Linked DNA regions of Struthio camelus. The protein of the gene in region 1 purifies or fractionates together with the protein of each later gene. This does not show direct contact. Links are inferred from orthologs where the notes say so. Each region holds a gene or a part of one and is shown on either strand. Other genes may lie near its edges.

What was found.
Region 2: the proteins of PLD1 (region 1) and ARF1 purify together in Homo sapiens (affinity purification with western blotting; 3 studies listed by BioGRID, with this or other methods). This does not show direct contact. The link is inferred for Struthio camelus from reciprocal best matches to the Homo sapiens genes PLD1 and ARF1.

What each region holds. Positions count from the first base shown.
Region 1 is NC_090950.1:27,440,307-27,448,197, reverse strand, and holds the start of PLD1 (phospholipase D1), read right to left. Parts: upstream 3,176-7,891; 5' UTR 2,789-3,175; intron 1,397-2,788; exon of another isoform or gene 1,273-1,396; intron 1-1,272. UniProt on the Homo sapiens protein: Function as phospholipase selective for phosphatidylcholine. Implicated as a critical step in numerous cellular pathways, including signal transduction, membrane trafficking, and the regulation of mitosis.
Region 2 is NC_090943.1:3,582,188-3,590,041, reverse strand, and holds the start of ARF1 (ADP-ribosylation factor 1), read right to left. Parts: upstream 3,190-7,854; 5' UTR 2,952-3,189; exon of another isoform or gene 2,402-2,951; intron 1-2,401. UniProt on the Homo sapiens protein: Small GTPase involved in protein trafficking between different compartments. Modulates vesicle budding and uncoating within the Golgi complex. In its GTP-bound form, triggers the recruitment of coatomer proteins to the Golgi membrane.

The DNA.
Region 1 (7,891 bases):
TAAAGCCAGCAGCAGAAATTGCAGTATAGACATGTACTTCATGAGCTTACACTAGCCTTAAGCGTAGCTTAATCTACAGGTCTGGATTTGCCTGCAAGCTGCTCTGGAAACAGCCTTTACAGTAACACCCTCCAGGCAGTTTTATCATAGCTATAGTGACCTAAGAGCGTATGCAGGAGACTGTAAGAGTAGATACATCACGTTAGACTGAACATCTATCTGCTCCCAGTGTGCCATCCCAAGAACTGGTTTATAACAGCTGCTTAGCAAAGCGTGTATAAACAAGGCATGGCTATGGTGAAACCTCTTTGGTACTCTCTCTGTCTCTGGCAATTTGCAGATAAGGGACTTTCCAAGCCAGAAGCGTTATCTTTGCCCCTGACAGCTATTTCGTTCATTAATTCGTCCAGTCAGGTTTTGAGGTCACATGAACTGTCATCATCTGTAACATCATGCAGCAAGAAATTCCACCGTTTAACATACCTCTGAGGAGAAGGAGGAAGCTGTATTTCATAAGATCAACTAGTACAGCTGAAAAAAAGACAGGCTGCCAGGGGGTGCCGCCTCTTCTTCAGGTCTTGTATGTCTGAAAACTTATCTATTTGCCTCTAGACAAATCACCTGCCTTGGGGGCGAGGAGGAGGGGGAAACCTCTTGCTCCCTAGACGCCTTGCATCCCACTTTTAAAATGCACTATTTAAAAAATCAGGCAACAGATTCAGCCCATACCAATGGTTCCTCCCTAGACCTGAGGTCAAAAAAAGTCCCAGAGAAGAGGATTTCAGGTCCTCTTCACAACCCAGACACCCAATCCTCCTTTTAAAGCAGATATTTTAAGAGAAGTCAGGGCTGCTTATCTAGTTGGGGAAAAAGGAGAAGAGAAAAATTCACAGACATGGGATTATTGGCCAGGCACAGCAGTGCGTATCAGGAGTTATTCTAGTGACTACAAGCGTGCTATTCATTACAGCAATCGGTTTGCTCTGCAGTACTTGCAGAAACATGCCAAGGCTGCTGTGATTCTGTCCGACTTGCTTCGCGTTTGCGATTTGCCTAACCTTTGCTCTAAATAAATGGGATCTGCACAGAGGGAATTTTGAGGCAACGACCCTGCTTCTACAGCATCCCCTGGGCTGCATCCTACAGAAATTGATATGGTCTGCTTTAAGGGAGAGACAGAGAACAGGCAGGCAGGCAGGGAAAAAAAATAAAAGCAAAAAAGAAGAATGGAAATGCAAGCTATCTAGCCCACAAAAATTGAGAGTAGCCTACCTTTGGCTTCTATCATGTTATTTATCCTACTTTAGAATTAAATCCAGATGACATAGATAAGGCGGTGGTGACCCCTAGTGCCCTCTCCAGCTGCAGCTTCCACCGTAATTCCCCATATTGATACCTGAGCATAAAGAGAGGCAAGAAGCAGCACCTTTCAGATTTGCTCTTCATTCACAAAGCCTCCCTCCCTCTCCCCTTTCCAAAACAGGATCTAATTTCGTCGCTCTATTCAATCTCTATTGCCGCGAGGCATTCACTGCAGCATCCCTTTGTCACTGCTGTCTGAGACCAAAATTAAACAAGTCTACTCATGTAACAAATGATTATATTCCTTTGACTCTTTACCATAGTACATTTATATCTATTATGCTTACAGAAAAGAAAGAAGAGTCCATTTTGCCAACTCCGAGCTTGTCAACAACTAAGGACGGCCATTCAAAACCCTGAGAGAGGAGCGACGTCTTGTATAAACTCCTAACGGGCATCTTCCGGCAGCGGGGCGCTGAAAGGGCTGAGTCGACCCTGCGGCAGGCATCGCTATGCAGCATTTTTTTCTGACAATGTCAATAATCTGTTCCTGTGAGTCAACCTGCACCATAACTGTCCCACAGCGCAGGATGGACTTCAGAGGCCTGGGCCTATTGCTGCCTCGTGGGAATAACATCTATTTAAAAAAAAAAAAATCTTAAACCACCTCTGTGCAGCTTACTTGGCGATGCAGGAGTTTCCTCAAGGAAACAGATGACCTTACATAGTTCTGAAAAGTCTTTAGCCGCTGACAGCGGAGGGCTTTGTGCCCCTGCCCCTTCGCAGGGGCCATGTGCTGGGCCGGGTACCGGGCCGCGTGGCCACCCCTCGGCGCGTGGCACCGCCACCGCACGCCTCTCGGGAACAGGGTTGCGTCCACGTTCCTCTGGCACCTCAGATGTATCTGATAGGAGCTTGCAAACATCTCCTAAGGCGGGGAAACACCCGCTGATTTGGTCTCCAGCTGCGGGCATCACGATGCTCTCACCCTGGGAGCCGAGGCCCACCAGAGAGCAGCAGATGCCCCCATGCAGCTCTACAGCCTGTCTCAACTTCATCTGATGCCTTCTACATTTGTCGTCTTCCCCTTCCAGAAGCACGTTAGCCGGCTGCGGCTATCGCGCTCGTCCCAGAGCGTCTGCTCAGCGCGTCCCGCCACCGGCACCGAGCCTCTCCCGGCAGAGCTGAGATCCCAGGCGGGATCCCAAACAGGCCGAGCGCCGGGCAGCTGCGTGCCTCTCTCGCAAGAACCTGCCCCCGCTGGGCAAGCCCTGACGCCGCTTTAGCGTTTCTCAAACCCAGACTAACTCCCCAGCGCGAGCCGGCTTGGGAGCCCCTCCCAGGGCTGCGTTTAAACTCCCCAGCTCGGCAGGAGCCCACGACGCAGCTCCCACCCCGCTCGGTCAGGCCCAAGGGCGGAAGCAACCGCGCTTTCTTTTCCCTTGGCTTTGCAGCTCTTTTTTCCCCCTGCTCGAGGAGTACTTACTGCGCTAAGTCAGACCGCTCCTACCCCTCGCGCCCCAGCAGCGCTGTCGCTGCCCGCGCTGCTGTTCCTGTTTCTCTGGTCACCGGTTTTATTTCTTCGCAACAAACAGCTTCCACGTATCAACTAGCCCTTCCGCCTCTACATCTTCTCGTGGCGTCTTGCTTTCTTACGGCTGGCTCCCTTTGGCGCTGGTCTTGGGACTTACTTCCCGCCGAGGGCTGCCGTGGGAGCCAAGCTGCTTGCTTCCTGCTACTCCCCGCTCCTTCCTCCCCTCTTTGGTCAAAAAATTGCCAGCACCCTTCTCGCTAAATGAGCCGCTGGCTGGTGTTTTTTATCACGATTCAGCTCATCCGATGACTGATTAGTCTGAGGCGAGGAGGGCTTTATGCCTCTGTAAGGGGCCTGCCACCCTGCAACAAGTCTTTTCCTCGTTTCAGGGCTAGACAGGCAGGTTGCAGCTAACAACACTGTATATGGTTGGGTTTTTTTTTTTTTCAGTTTTAATACAAGTTCGTTATCTGTTCTGGACATATTTTTGTTCTGCTCATGTGCCTGCTCTGTGAATCATTTGTGCCATGTTCTGTATCTCTAGACTCACGTGTACCCTTGCTTAAATTAAAACCAATGATTTTTGAGTTGACATTCCTGGCTGTTTGTTCCCAATGTCTTATTCGTAAAGTAGGTTCTGAATGGGAGATAGGAGTATGCTATTAATTGTATAATTATAAATAGGCTTTGCTTGGCTTAAATATCTGGGTCGGCGCGAGCCCACGACGCAGCTCCCACCCCGCTTGGTCAGGCCCAAGGGCGGAAGCAACCGCGCTTTCTTTTCCCTTGGCTTTGCAGCTCTTTTTTCCCCCTGCTCGAGGAGTACTTACTGCGCTAAGTCAGACCGCTCCTACCCCTCGCGCCCCAGCACTTTGCTTGGCTTTGCTTGGCTTAAATATGCTGGGTCCGGTCTTGTTCAATATATTCATCAATGACCTGGAGGAAGGGACAGAGTGCACCCTCAGCAAGTTTGCTGATGATACGAAACTGGGAGGAGAGGCTGACACACCAGAAGACTGTGCTGCCATTCAGGGGGACCTGGACAGGCTGGAGAGCTGGGCGGAGAGGAACCTCCTGAAGTTCAACAAAGGCAAGTGCAAGGTCCTGCACCTAGGCAGGAATAACCCCCTGCACCAGTCCAGGCTGGGGGTTGACCTGCTGGAAAGTAGCTCTGCCGAGAAGGACCTGGGAGTGCTGGTGGACAACAAGTTAAGCATGAGCCAGCAGTGTGCCCTTGTGGCCAAGAAGGCCAATGGTCTCCTGGGGTGCATTAAGCAGAGTGTTGCCAGCAGGTCGAGGGAGGTGATCCTGCCCCTCTACTCAGCCCTGGTGAGGCCTCACCTGGAGTACTGTGTCCAGTTCTGGGCTCCCCAGTACAAGAGAGACATGGCACTCCTGGAGAGAGTCCAGTGGAGGGCTACAAAGATGATTAGAGGACTGGAGCCCCTCTCCTATGAAGAAAGACTGCAAGAGCTGGGCCTGTTCAGCCTGGAGAAGAGAAGATTGAGAGGCGATCTCATCAATGTGTACAAGTATCTGAAGGGGGAGTGTCAAGAGGATGAGGCCAGCCTCTTCTCCGTGGTGCCCAGCAACGGGACAAGAGGCAACGGGCAGAAACTGAACCACGGGAAGTTCCACCTAAACCTGAGAAAAAACTTCTTCACTGTGAGGGTGACAGAGCATTGGAACAGGTTGCCCAGGGAGGTTGTGGAGTCTCCTTCCCTGGAGATATTGAAAACCCGTCTGGATGTGATCCTGGGCAATATGCTCTAGAGGACCCTGCTTGAGCAGGGAGGTTGGACTAGATGATCTCCAGAGGTCCCTTCCAACCTAAACGATTCTGTGATTCTGTGATTCTGTGATCTTTTGTCAGCATAGTGCTGGGAAATCCTCAGTGACCCGGTGTATCCACAGAGTCCACATTGCTCACGTTGCCTTCCTTAATTTCTCTTTTTCCTCTATTTTAATTAAATATATGCAAGAATCTTATCCTCTGAGCCACTGTTTGCTTCTTTCACAGTGATATATACTGTTTCTTTAGAGTTTCTCCTCCCTATTAGCTCTAGGAAAGCCCATTTTCTTTTATTTGGTGTTCTCACTACGTATGATCCCACATACACAAAGCACTCCAAAATATCTCTCTCTGTAGCACACACATCTTCTCTTTGTATAGATGTATTTATTTTTTGAAAAATTAGTGTATTTTTCTCTGTATTCTTCTGTGTTCCCATTTTACTTGGTGCTCGCTGCATCCTTTCCAGTTATGCTCTGGATCTGCGTAAAAACTCCCTTTCGGGCTTACATATGCCTATAGCTACAGGCAGGATTAGTTCAGTGTCTCTGAATGTTTTCATTTAAACTCTAGCATCTTTCACTCCCACTATTAAAAAGTGCTCCCAATTAGCCCATCACTTTAACTTTTAATTATCACATGAATCAGCCTTTTTTGCACACTTTTGCAACATGCTACTTTGCTGGTTCCTTGGCTCATACTATTGGAGAGTTATTCTTGTGAACTGGAGATGTTTTCTTGGACGTCACCTGAGTCCTCTCAGAGTGTTGTTATGACAGGACCTGAATGTCAGAATAGACATCTGCAATAGATCCGTCCAGTGAAACAATTCACCAGAAGGTGAAGTAGAATCCTCATAATAAAAATACCTGTATTAAAGACTGGGTTTTTGTCTTCCCAAAGGCTACCCTTGTTCAAGGAGAATATAAACCCTACAGCTTCTCATACACAGCATGTCAGACCAGCTGATCATAATAGTTCATTCTGGCTTTCGTGCTTAAAAACCTACAAATATCTGGACAAACTGCAACCCCATCTGGTAGAGAGGCAGTCAGACAAGATTGTTGCCTGCAGACAAGACAGTTGTTGTTTCTGATCTTAAATGCTACAAATTCACACACAATACTACTGAGACACGCGCTTCTTCCCACAGCGACTAGTAATGCAGCTGTTTTTATTTTGTTTTCCTTTTTGTCTTGCCCTGTTGCAATTTTCAAAGTTTTCCTGTTAGAATCTAACGACTGTCCTAATATGTATGAAAATCTTCTTCCCCTGCATCTTTTGGGGGACAGAAATTCAGTACGTTGCCGTGACTTTTGTTCTGTCAGTGTTTCCCCAACGGCCTCAGTTTCTGATTTCATGTAAATCCACGGGATGACTCACTCCAAAGAGTTTATTCAGTGCTCCAGAGGAGAGGACAGCGTGCTAAGCTGGAGGCAGCTTTCAGACTTTGCTCCTTACTGCACCACACTTGGCAAGCACTTCCTACAAGCGCAGTCCCCAAACCTTCCCGTGCTTGAGCCATAAGGCTTAACAGCAAGGACGGTGCTATCCTGGTGGCAGCGTGGCCAGCCCCCATAAATAAACTCCAAACCCAGCCCAGTCTAGCTGATACTGCTGAGCTCTATTTCACAGCACATTTCTGAGCCAATTTTGTTGCTGAAACCTAGTTCTGTAGCTACTTAAAACGGGTCTTTTTCCTGTGGCTTTGAATAGACACCCTCTGTGCTAGGACAGTAGCTAGCAACCACAGGCCCTAGGCAAGCAGAGAGGTAGGGTTTGGTTAGCAGTCTTCTTGGACTAAGGAAACCTCAGGCTGTCACGCTGACTTTGTCCGTGACACCACATCTGCAAATTGTCACTTCTGCATGTACGCAGCCTCAACCCGCTTAGTTTTCACCTGTCTCTCTTCAGGTGAATAGAGCAACCAAGTACAAAAACAGCAATTACAACTTGGTACTTAACGAAATTAAAATATCAGCTGCCATCAGAATGATTTCAGCCACTGAAAATGGGCAGGTGGGGCACAAGCCAATTTCAGATGTATACCCACATGCACCATGGCCCTGGCTCAGGCCTGTATTACTAAGACACTGCTGTAATACAGAAGCGCACAGTAATACCCACAGCATGGTATGACGCCCTGGGGAGTTCTAGCCCCTTACTGTGACCGTTTGGTCTCGGGGTGATGCAGCAGGAACACACCATCTCGCTGGTCACCCACAAACATGGTTACGACATGAGGAGAAAAGAGGCCTTCTAAGAGAGATCCAGAGCAGCACTTCTTAATGACACGTAAGAGTGATCACAAGAGGAAAAAGGTGGGGTTAAATGAACCGCAGAAGGTATGAGCTGAAAAGCCCCATAGGCTTACGCAGCACCAGGAGCCCCTTTTCCTGCCAGAACAAGCCAAAAAGCTTTGAAGGGGAGACAGAAGGAATGCCATCCAGCAAAGACGCACGCAATGGCTCTGAGTTAATTCTGTTTCCCTTTGACCAGAAAGTTTCCAGGAGAAGGAGCTGACACACCACGCATACCCACGCAGCGCAACCACCCTGGGCTTGGAAACTGAGGGCCTCCGAGCAAATGGAAGGAAGAAAAACACAGGCAAAAGCAGATTCAACCTCCCCCCGCCCCCCCCCCCCAGAAGACACATTGGAAAGGTTTTTATTTTTCTGTCAGTTAAACCGAAAATCTATGAGGAAGCATAAAGCAAGTCTCGACAAGAAGCTATTTTACTCTTTGTCAAGCACACATGCAAAACGGCTACAAGAAATGCTGTGTACTGTCTTTCCAGAATTTAAATCAAACACAGAACTGACATCAGTCCCAGTTCTCCACTACTCTGCTTCCAATTTGCTTGGGCAGCCCATTAAAAACAGTAGAAAAAGTCTGTATTCCTATTTTTTTTAGAGTCTCAGTCATTTTGCATAGTCGAAGTAAAGAAGACATAAAAACAGGCTCTGCCTGAGGATGAAAACTGAAAAAGGAAGGACAAATGAAAAAATAGTTGAAGAAAATCAAAATCTTCTGCACAACAACCCTACAGAGTGCATGCAATCATTTCTATTTTGACTCACCAACGTGTCAGCTTCACAGCCCCCAGAACTGCTCTTCCAGTGGTGGACTCTTGTCCTCCTTTATCTTTAATTCTCTCCACAAATCTGGGAAGACTGGAGTATTAGAAATTGCAATGTGCTCAGCAGAAAAGGTACCCAAGTCTACAACACAGAATACATCATCTTCACCTGGATGTCTTTTTC
Region 2 (7,854 bases), on another chromosome or scaffold:
TTGCAAGTAGAGAAAGAAGTACAGAAGCCGCTGTTCACATTCTTGCCCAGAAAAAGAAGTGGTGCTGACAATGTAATTATGACACCTAAGTTTTGACTTGCAGCTACATCTGCACCTGTTAAATGGCAGATATTCTTACTACTACGGGAAGTGATCACCACAAAGCATTTGTTTTCAGACAAGCCCTGTAAGGTTTATGAGGCCAAACTATTTACAACTTTTAAAAACTTAAATTTTAAGCCAAATAACCTGTTATTCATTCCTACTAACTGGAGAGTAAACCAACATTTACACTCTTAGAAACAGGAAGAACTTGCACAAGAGCTTCAGTAATAAAATTGTTTTCTGGTTTAGGGAAAGTGTTAAAACAGAACCTGCAACTAGCTAGTTACTGTGTATTAGATAATCAGTATATGAATAAGGGCTTCATTACACCTAGGAGTCTTATTAGAACCCCAACATCAGCAAAAGTAGAGCCACAGTCCTTCAATATTTGCATGGGCTAGAAACAAGAAATAAAATTGGATACTTGCAAGCAGAAAGAAAAAAGTGCTGAGCAACACAGAAAAAAAAGCACTGTTGTAGTAGGAAGCTGGTTCTAAACTTCTTTACTCATCAGTTAAAGAAAGGGAACGACGGCAGAGAACCGTGCTAGGTGTAACACAAGCTCTACCGCATTCCAGTAGCAAAACTTTCAACAGATCGCTAAAAGCAAAACTATTTCTGTTAAGAAAAAGTTACTAACTTATGTTCACAAAGTTTATCCACTGCAAGGAACTCAAGATATTAAAAGGCCTCGTGAAGGCTGTTGAAATCTGTAAGAATCCTAGCTTTAAAGGCCATCTTTGCACATCTCAGCAGTTTCTCTAAACTGACCTTTTGCTCTTAAAACAAGGTGCTTTGATTTCAACCCTACAAATTCAGCTGGAAGCCTCTATTGTGAGCTTCTCCTTCTCTCATCAATTAATGTAACCAATAACTAATGTGATAACTGTGCCTCAGTGAGATGTACGAACGCTATTACTGCAAGCAGGTTTTTGAGTCAGCTGAAACTGGAGCACAATACAGTTCGGTCAGTTAGAAGAAGGACCAAAATCCAACCCTTTACCTCCTCCCGCCCACTCTGTTTGCCTTGAAACAACTGTAACTAGTCCTGCCCCTCACTGAGCAAGCATGACTAATGCACACAAGGAATTGCGTGCACTGGTCAAGAATGCATCGCTTTTGCCCAGTCCCTTTTCAGATTTGGGTTTTATTTCACAACCAGACAAACTCCAACATTTGGCAAACCCATAGCAAGGACCAATTTACACTCGGGACACTGCATTCGCACACTTGCATTCTAACCTTATTCCAGGTTCTTAAGGTATGGTCCGATAATTATTACGTACACCAAACTATTAGAGCATTAAGGGCTGTTCAGACTGGAAGTGACACCTGCTTGAGCCATTTTTACTCCTGATGCTCTGGCACAGTAGAAGGGTCAGTAAACTTGGCAAACAAAGAGTTTAAGAGGTTCAAGTGAGGTAGGTTTCCTCACCCTTTCACCCAGTATAATTAGCACAATAGAGAAAGTAGTCCAACAGGGTTCTCAGCACTGCAGACAACCTGTGTTTTTAACAGAGGAAATAAGTGGTGTCATACCAGCCTCCTAAACCTCGGTTTGAGAGAATCCCTTGCTTGCTACAGCTGTAAGACTATGAGTACTTACACTGACAATTTCATTACAAATTCCATAAAGAAAAGCCAGGAAGCAATCCTCAGTTCAGCTGGAAAGGGCTCTCCCCCTCCCCCCGCAAAGTTCTTCAAATTAGTAGTAAAAGTAATTATAAATGTATTGCCAAATGACCTTGGACAATTCACTTCAACTTGATTTCTCTGCCTGAAAAATAAGGTTAGCAGAATATTCTTCATAGGGGTGCTGCAAGACTTATCACTTACAAAACAAAGTTCAAAATGTTATATAAATAGTTCACATTTTAGCTATTGACAAAACTACGTTTCAAAACAAGACTCTGGATACAACTCTAATCAACTGGTGGAATTTGGTTTGGCAGGGACCTAGCAGCAGAGCAACAAGGTCAATGTCAAAAACAACATTTAGGCAGCTTTATGACCCGAGAGAGTTTTAGTTATGTTTGATCGGGGCAAACAGCTTTTTCCGTGAAGAGGTTTGCATAGCTAGCCTATCACTCTAATAGAAAGGGGATATCGGCCCACCAAGTATCACATTAATTGCTCACAGAGACAAGACATAGTACTTTCAGCTGCAGTATAATATCCTTCCATTGGGATCTGCTATGCCAAGGAAAACTGACCTTCAGGATCACCAAACCCAAGCAATGCACCTAAAACAGAGTTTGCTCCAGGCTTAAACAAAAAAAAAAAAAACCCAACTTACCTTCACCCTCCCAGCCCTGCACGAAGCTCGACTCAGCAGCTAAAGATTTACCAAGCAAATAACCGCTCTTCGGAGTCTCGCCCGAGCCTCACCTCACCCTACCAGGCCATGGGGAGCTGCGAGCTCGGCTACCAGGAGCCTTGTCGGGGGGAGGAAGCGCAGGAAAACTCTCGCCGCTCTCGGGCGGGGCAGGCCGGAACGAGGGAGTTTGGGGCGGCCGGGGAAGGAAGGCCCATCTCGCCGCATCCCGTCTAATCCCTCCGGCAGGGGGAGCGACGCGGGGCCTGGCGCAGAGCTGCAGCCCTTCCTCACCCCCTCCCCCTCCGCCTTTTCCCTCCCTTCTCCACCCCCCGGGCTGGGCCGGCGGCTCCCCGCTGCCTGCACTGCGGCCTGGCTGCGGCGGCGGCTCCCTCCTCCCGCCGCCAGCCAAGCGCGGGGCTGGAAGCGGCCGGGCCCGCAAGGCCTCGCCGCCGCCTCAGCGCCTCACAACCCGCCGCGGACCTCGGAGAAAGGACCGTAGGTTGAAAGGAGGGCGGCAGCGGTGACTTACCGGCGTCGGCTGCTGCTGCTGCCCCGGGCAGTGGGTCTGGCTGTGCTCGGGCAGTCCCGCTCGGAGCCGGCTTCCCCCCCTGCCGCCGCTCAGCCTCTCTCCGCCCAAGCACACAAGATGGCGGCGCTCGGCGGCCACGTCAGTGCCAGCCCCGCGCGCGGCACCACGGGTAACCGAGGAGGGCAGCGGGAGGCGGGGCCGGCCGCCGAGGGGGCGGGGCTCCGCCTGCGGCGGCGGCGCTGCAAAGGGGCGGGGCCGGGCGGGAGGCCACGCCCCTCCCTCTCCTCTTGCCCACCCCACCCCCGCGGGTGGGGCGGGGTTGGCGCGTGGGAGCGCGGGCGCGGGGCGGCGCGAGGGCTGTGCGCGTGGGAGCTTTTCCTCCTCCTCCTCCTCCTCCTCCTCCTCCTCCTCCTCCTCCTCTTCCCCCCACCTTCTCCCTGCCGCGGGGCCTGGCGTGCATGCACCATGCAGCATTGCCCCGTGGACGGCTCCTTGGGGACGCATGCACCATGCAGCGTTGCCCCGAGGCCGGCTCCTTGGGGGCGCGTGCACCATGCAGCGTTGCCCCGAGGCCGGCTCCTTGGGGGCGCATGCACCATGCAGCATTGCCCCGTGGACGGCTCCTTGGGGACGCATGCACCATGCAGCGTTGCCCCGAGGCCGGCTCCTTGGGGGCGCATGCACCATGCAGCGTTGCCCCGAGGCCGGCTCTTTGGGGGCGCATGCACCATGCAGCATTGCCCCGAGGCCGGCTCCTTGGGGGCGCATGCACCATGCAGCATTGCCCCGAGGCCGGCTCCTTGGGGGCGCGTGCACCATGCAGCATTGCCCCGAGGCCGGCTCCTTGGGGGCGCATGCACCATGCAGCGTTGCCCCGTGGACGGCTCCTTGGGGGCGCGTGCACCATGCAGCATTGCCCCGAGGCCGGCTATTTGGGGACGCATGCACCATGCAGCGTTGCCCCGAGGCCGGCTCTTTGGGGGCGCATGCACCATGCAGCATTGCCCCGAGGCCGGCTCTTTGGGGACGCATGCACCATGCAGCGTTGCCCCGAGGCCGGCTCCTTGGGGGCGCATGCACCATGCAGCATTGCCCCGAGGCCGGCTCCTTGGGGGCGCGTGCACCATGCAGCGTTGCCCCGAGGCCGGCTCCTTGGGGATGCATGCACCATGCAGCATTGCCCCGAGGCCGGCTCCTTGGGGGCGCATGCACCATGCAGCATTGCCCCGAGGCCGGCTATTTGGGGACGCATGCACCATGCAGCGTTGCCCCGAGGCCGGCTCCTTGGGGGCGCATGCACCATGCAGCATTGCCCCGAGTCCGGCTCCTTGGGGGCGCATGCACCATGCAGCGTTGCCCCGAGGCCGGCTCCTTGGGGGTGCGTGCACCATGTAGCATTGCCCCGAGGCCGGCTCTTTGGAGGCACATGCACCATGCAGCATTGTCCCGAGGCCGGCTCCTTGGGGGCGCGTGCACCATGCAGCATTGCCCCGAGGCCGGCTCCTTGGGGGCGCATGCAGCATTGCCCCGTGGACGGCTCCTTGGGGGCGCATGCACCATGCAGCATTGCCCCGAGGCCGGCTCCTTGGGGGCGCATGCACCATGCAGCATTGCCCCGAGGCCGGCTCCTTGGGGGCGCATGCACCATGCAGCATTGCCTAATAATACCACATTGCGGGATGGTGGAATAGCACACGGACGTTACAAGGTTTAAAGCGTGCCGACGATGCAACCCCCTGCAAGGAGAGTGCATTGAGCGTACGGGCTTGCGACACGCAGGACCCGCTTTGCAGGGCCGTGAGCTGTCTGAAATCCCCGAGGGGGAATCTACAGGCTGTTTTATCCAAACTAAAGCAGGACTGCAGGGAGGAAAAAGGCAAAAAGATAGCTGGTGGGATGTCCCAAGCGCTGGCTCTGGCCTTTCGCAGGCACCTGGGGCGCCTCGGTTTCCCCTCTGAGCCGGAAATACCACTTTTGTCTTTCTTGCCCCGGCCTGGGCACGAAATACTTCCTCCTCTAAAGCGCAGCAGAAATTTGAAAGCAGCAGGAAGCAATGAAAACTCCTTCTTTCTGCCCCCCTTTTCCCCCCCGATGCTCATAGGAAATTAATACCTCAAAATCCTCCGTCCCGCTGTCAAAGGTGGCTGAAATTGCCCGGCAGCTGAAAACATTATAAAGGGATGAGGGAAGACAGACGGGCATGAGCTCAAAAGCCTCTTTTCCTAAAAAAACTAGGTCACGCACGAGAGCGGTGGCAGAGATGGCAGGAGGGAACCCGGACCGGAGCCGGCGCTTGTCCCCCGCCGCCTTGGGGCAGCAAAGCTCACTCTGTACAAGCAGGTAGGATTTAATACGACGATTATTTCACTTAAGGAAGCACCTATGATACGTTAGGTCTCCCCAAAGGTGCACAAAGAGCCTGGAGAGGTCCCAAAACGTTGCAAACACGTTGAGGGGTTTGGGCAAAAGAGAAATGTGGCCTCGGCGCTCTGAGTCATGATGCAAGATGCAGACTTTGCCCGGTGACTCATTTCTGGGAAGAAAAAGGCCTCTTTTTGCAGCGGGGCTGAGCAGACCTGTTCCTTTCCTTTCTTTTTTTCTGCCCGTTTCGGAGTGGGGACGCCGGGGAAAAAGGAACCTCCGCTTGCCCGCCGGGTGCTAGCGGCAGAGCAGCAGCCTCGTCTGCTTTCCTGGCGCGGCCTTTTCGGAGCGGGACGGGTTTTCCTCGCCTCGGGTGACGAATCCTCCAGCATGGCTACACCCTGTTCTCGCTGGCTTTTGCAAAAAATAAAACAATAAATAAATCGTGTTTGTCCAAGGCGATTTTCTGAGGTTGTAAAAATATCCGCGAAGGCTCGCTTGCGAAACGCTTTTCCTTTCCCGCCTGCCCTAGAGAAGAAGAAGAAAAAGAAATCCCCTTAGGCTGGATTTGCTTGAGCTCCGAAGGATTTTAGGGACAGAAGCGGCTTCAAGTGCAAAGCCTGGGGTTTGGGGGTGACACTGGGGCGGGTGCCCACGGGCGAGGGTCGTTCACTGCTCTGCTCTCGGCCGTGGCGGCACCTAAGGCCCCCGTTGGCCGCTTTGGGTCGAGGGTTTCTCACCTTCGAGCTTGTCACATGCTGGTGAGGACGGCGATTGCTGGCAGGAGCTGCAAAATCACCCCCGCCACCAGCTATTGGCTACCTTTCCCACCGAAAAAATAGCGACTACGGCTTGGATTCGGGGTCTTGGAGTCACCTGTTGGGCTAAGAGATCTAGACCTGGTGCTCATGTTTTACCATCCTGCTAGCAAAAGGCGGGTGGGTTTGGGGAGAAAAGCAAGCTAAACGCTACCTGCAGCAAAATTATGCAGCAAAATCATAATTTTGCAGCAGGAGCTTGCTCCAGCTCCATCAGTGAAGTGGAGCTGAAGGCCCAGGTGGGAGCAAAAATGCTGGAGGTGAGTGGAAAGCCAGCTGGGTCCCGTCTCCTGCAGCCCTGCAAACAGCCAGAGCTTTGGGTTTTGCCACGGTTTCTCCGAGAAAAGCCGACTTTGGGTGCAGAGGGACGCGTGCAGCCAGAATTCCCGAAAGGCTGTTTTTTGAGAGCATCTCAGATGTAGGACCGAAGCACGGAGAGCCAAGACAGCAAATTGCCCTTCCATCGGTGACGCCGGCTCCCTGGGGATGGCAGGGAAATTACTTCAGCTCTCTCCGCCTCGCTTTTTTTCTCCTTAATTTGGAAATAGCTCCACTGAGTCACTCAGCGAAGCGCAGGGCTGGTGTGAAGAGCTGCGCCTAAGGTAGGTATCGCTAAATTTTTGGCGCTGCTGCTGCCACCTCTGGAAGGAGCTCCCATGGTGCATGCAATGGGGCCCCTCCCGGGGTGACCGTCGAGGAGTTGCCTTCATGTCCTCAGCGCCTGGGTTGGAAAACACATTCTGGCTAGGTGGAGACCACGTCGCAACCCGCTTGGCCTGGCCCAGAAAGTCACCTGGCGGTAGCTAAGAAGTATTCACTGACCGTGACGTCTCCACGTGGCTGGCGCCGAGTAAATCTGGATTCGGGTGCTTGCAGCGCCGGTAGCAATGCGTTCCTGAGTACATCTGGGGGATCTTCACCGAGGGCCGCTGTCCTCCTTTCCCTTCCTTCGGAAGCAGCCAAGCCTCCTGGTTTTAGCGGATGGTTTTTAGGAGGGTGCATTAGTGTCGTTATTTCACCCAGCGTCCAGGACCGGCGGTGGGAATTGAGCAGCAGAGCCTCTAGACCAGATAGCAGCGTGGGGTCATGCCGCAGATGGTCTCTCCGTCCGCCCTTCCCAGTTTTGGGTTTAATCCTCAGCTTAATTTTAGTGCCAGACCTAACGTGCTGCAGCTGGAGACCTGCGCCAGCTGCCGCGTCCGCGGGGCCAGATCTGTGGACCACCACATGGGATGGAGATGGGGACGAGCACTGTTGTCCGTGGTGCCAGCTGTGTCCCACTGGTGCCTCCAGGTCTCCCAAATCAGAAACATGGCAGGACCACGCAATTGCCCACAGCACAAGGTATTTGGTAGGGTCAGCTCCTTAGAGCTGTCTGGTCTTCCTAGGATCCTCTAAAGTCTCAGCTTCCTTTCCTTGTTACAAAGATATTGTGTCCTTCTGGACAAGATATTAGCTCCTGCAACCTGGATAATTTTGAGCTACTATGGGGTTACCTAAGGCTTCGAGGGGCAAAGGAAGGAAGAGCCACAACCATTTGGGGAGGTCACAGGCCTCATTTTAACAGCAGGTTTCTGGACTAGATGTTAGTTCTTTGTCCATGGGGAACATGCAGCCCTTCAGGGAGTGGTGGGAACCCTTCTGAGGTGTGAACTGATGGGCCAACTCAACTTGGGCCCAATAGTAACTAAATAAGGAAGACTGAGTTGATGCAACTGAGTTGG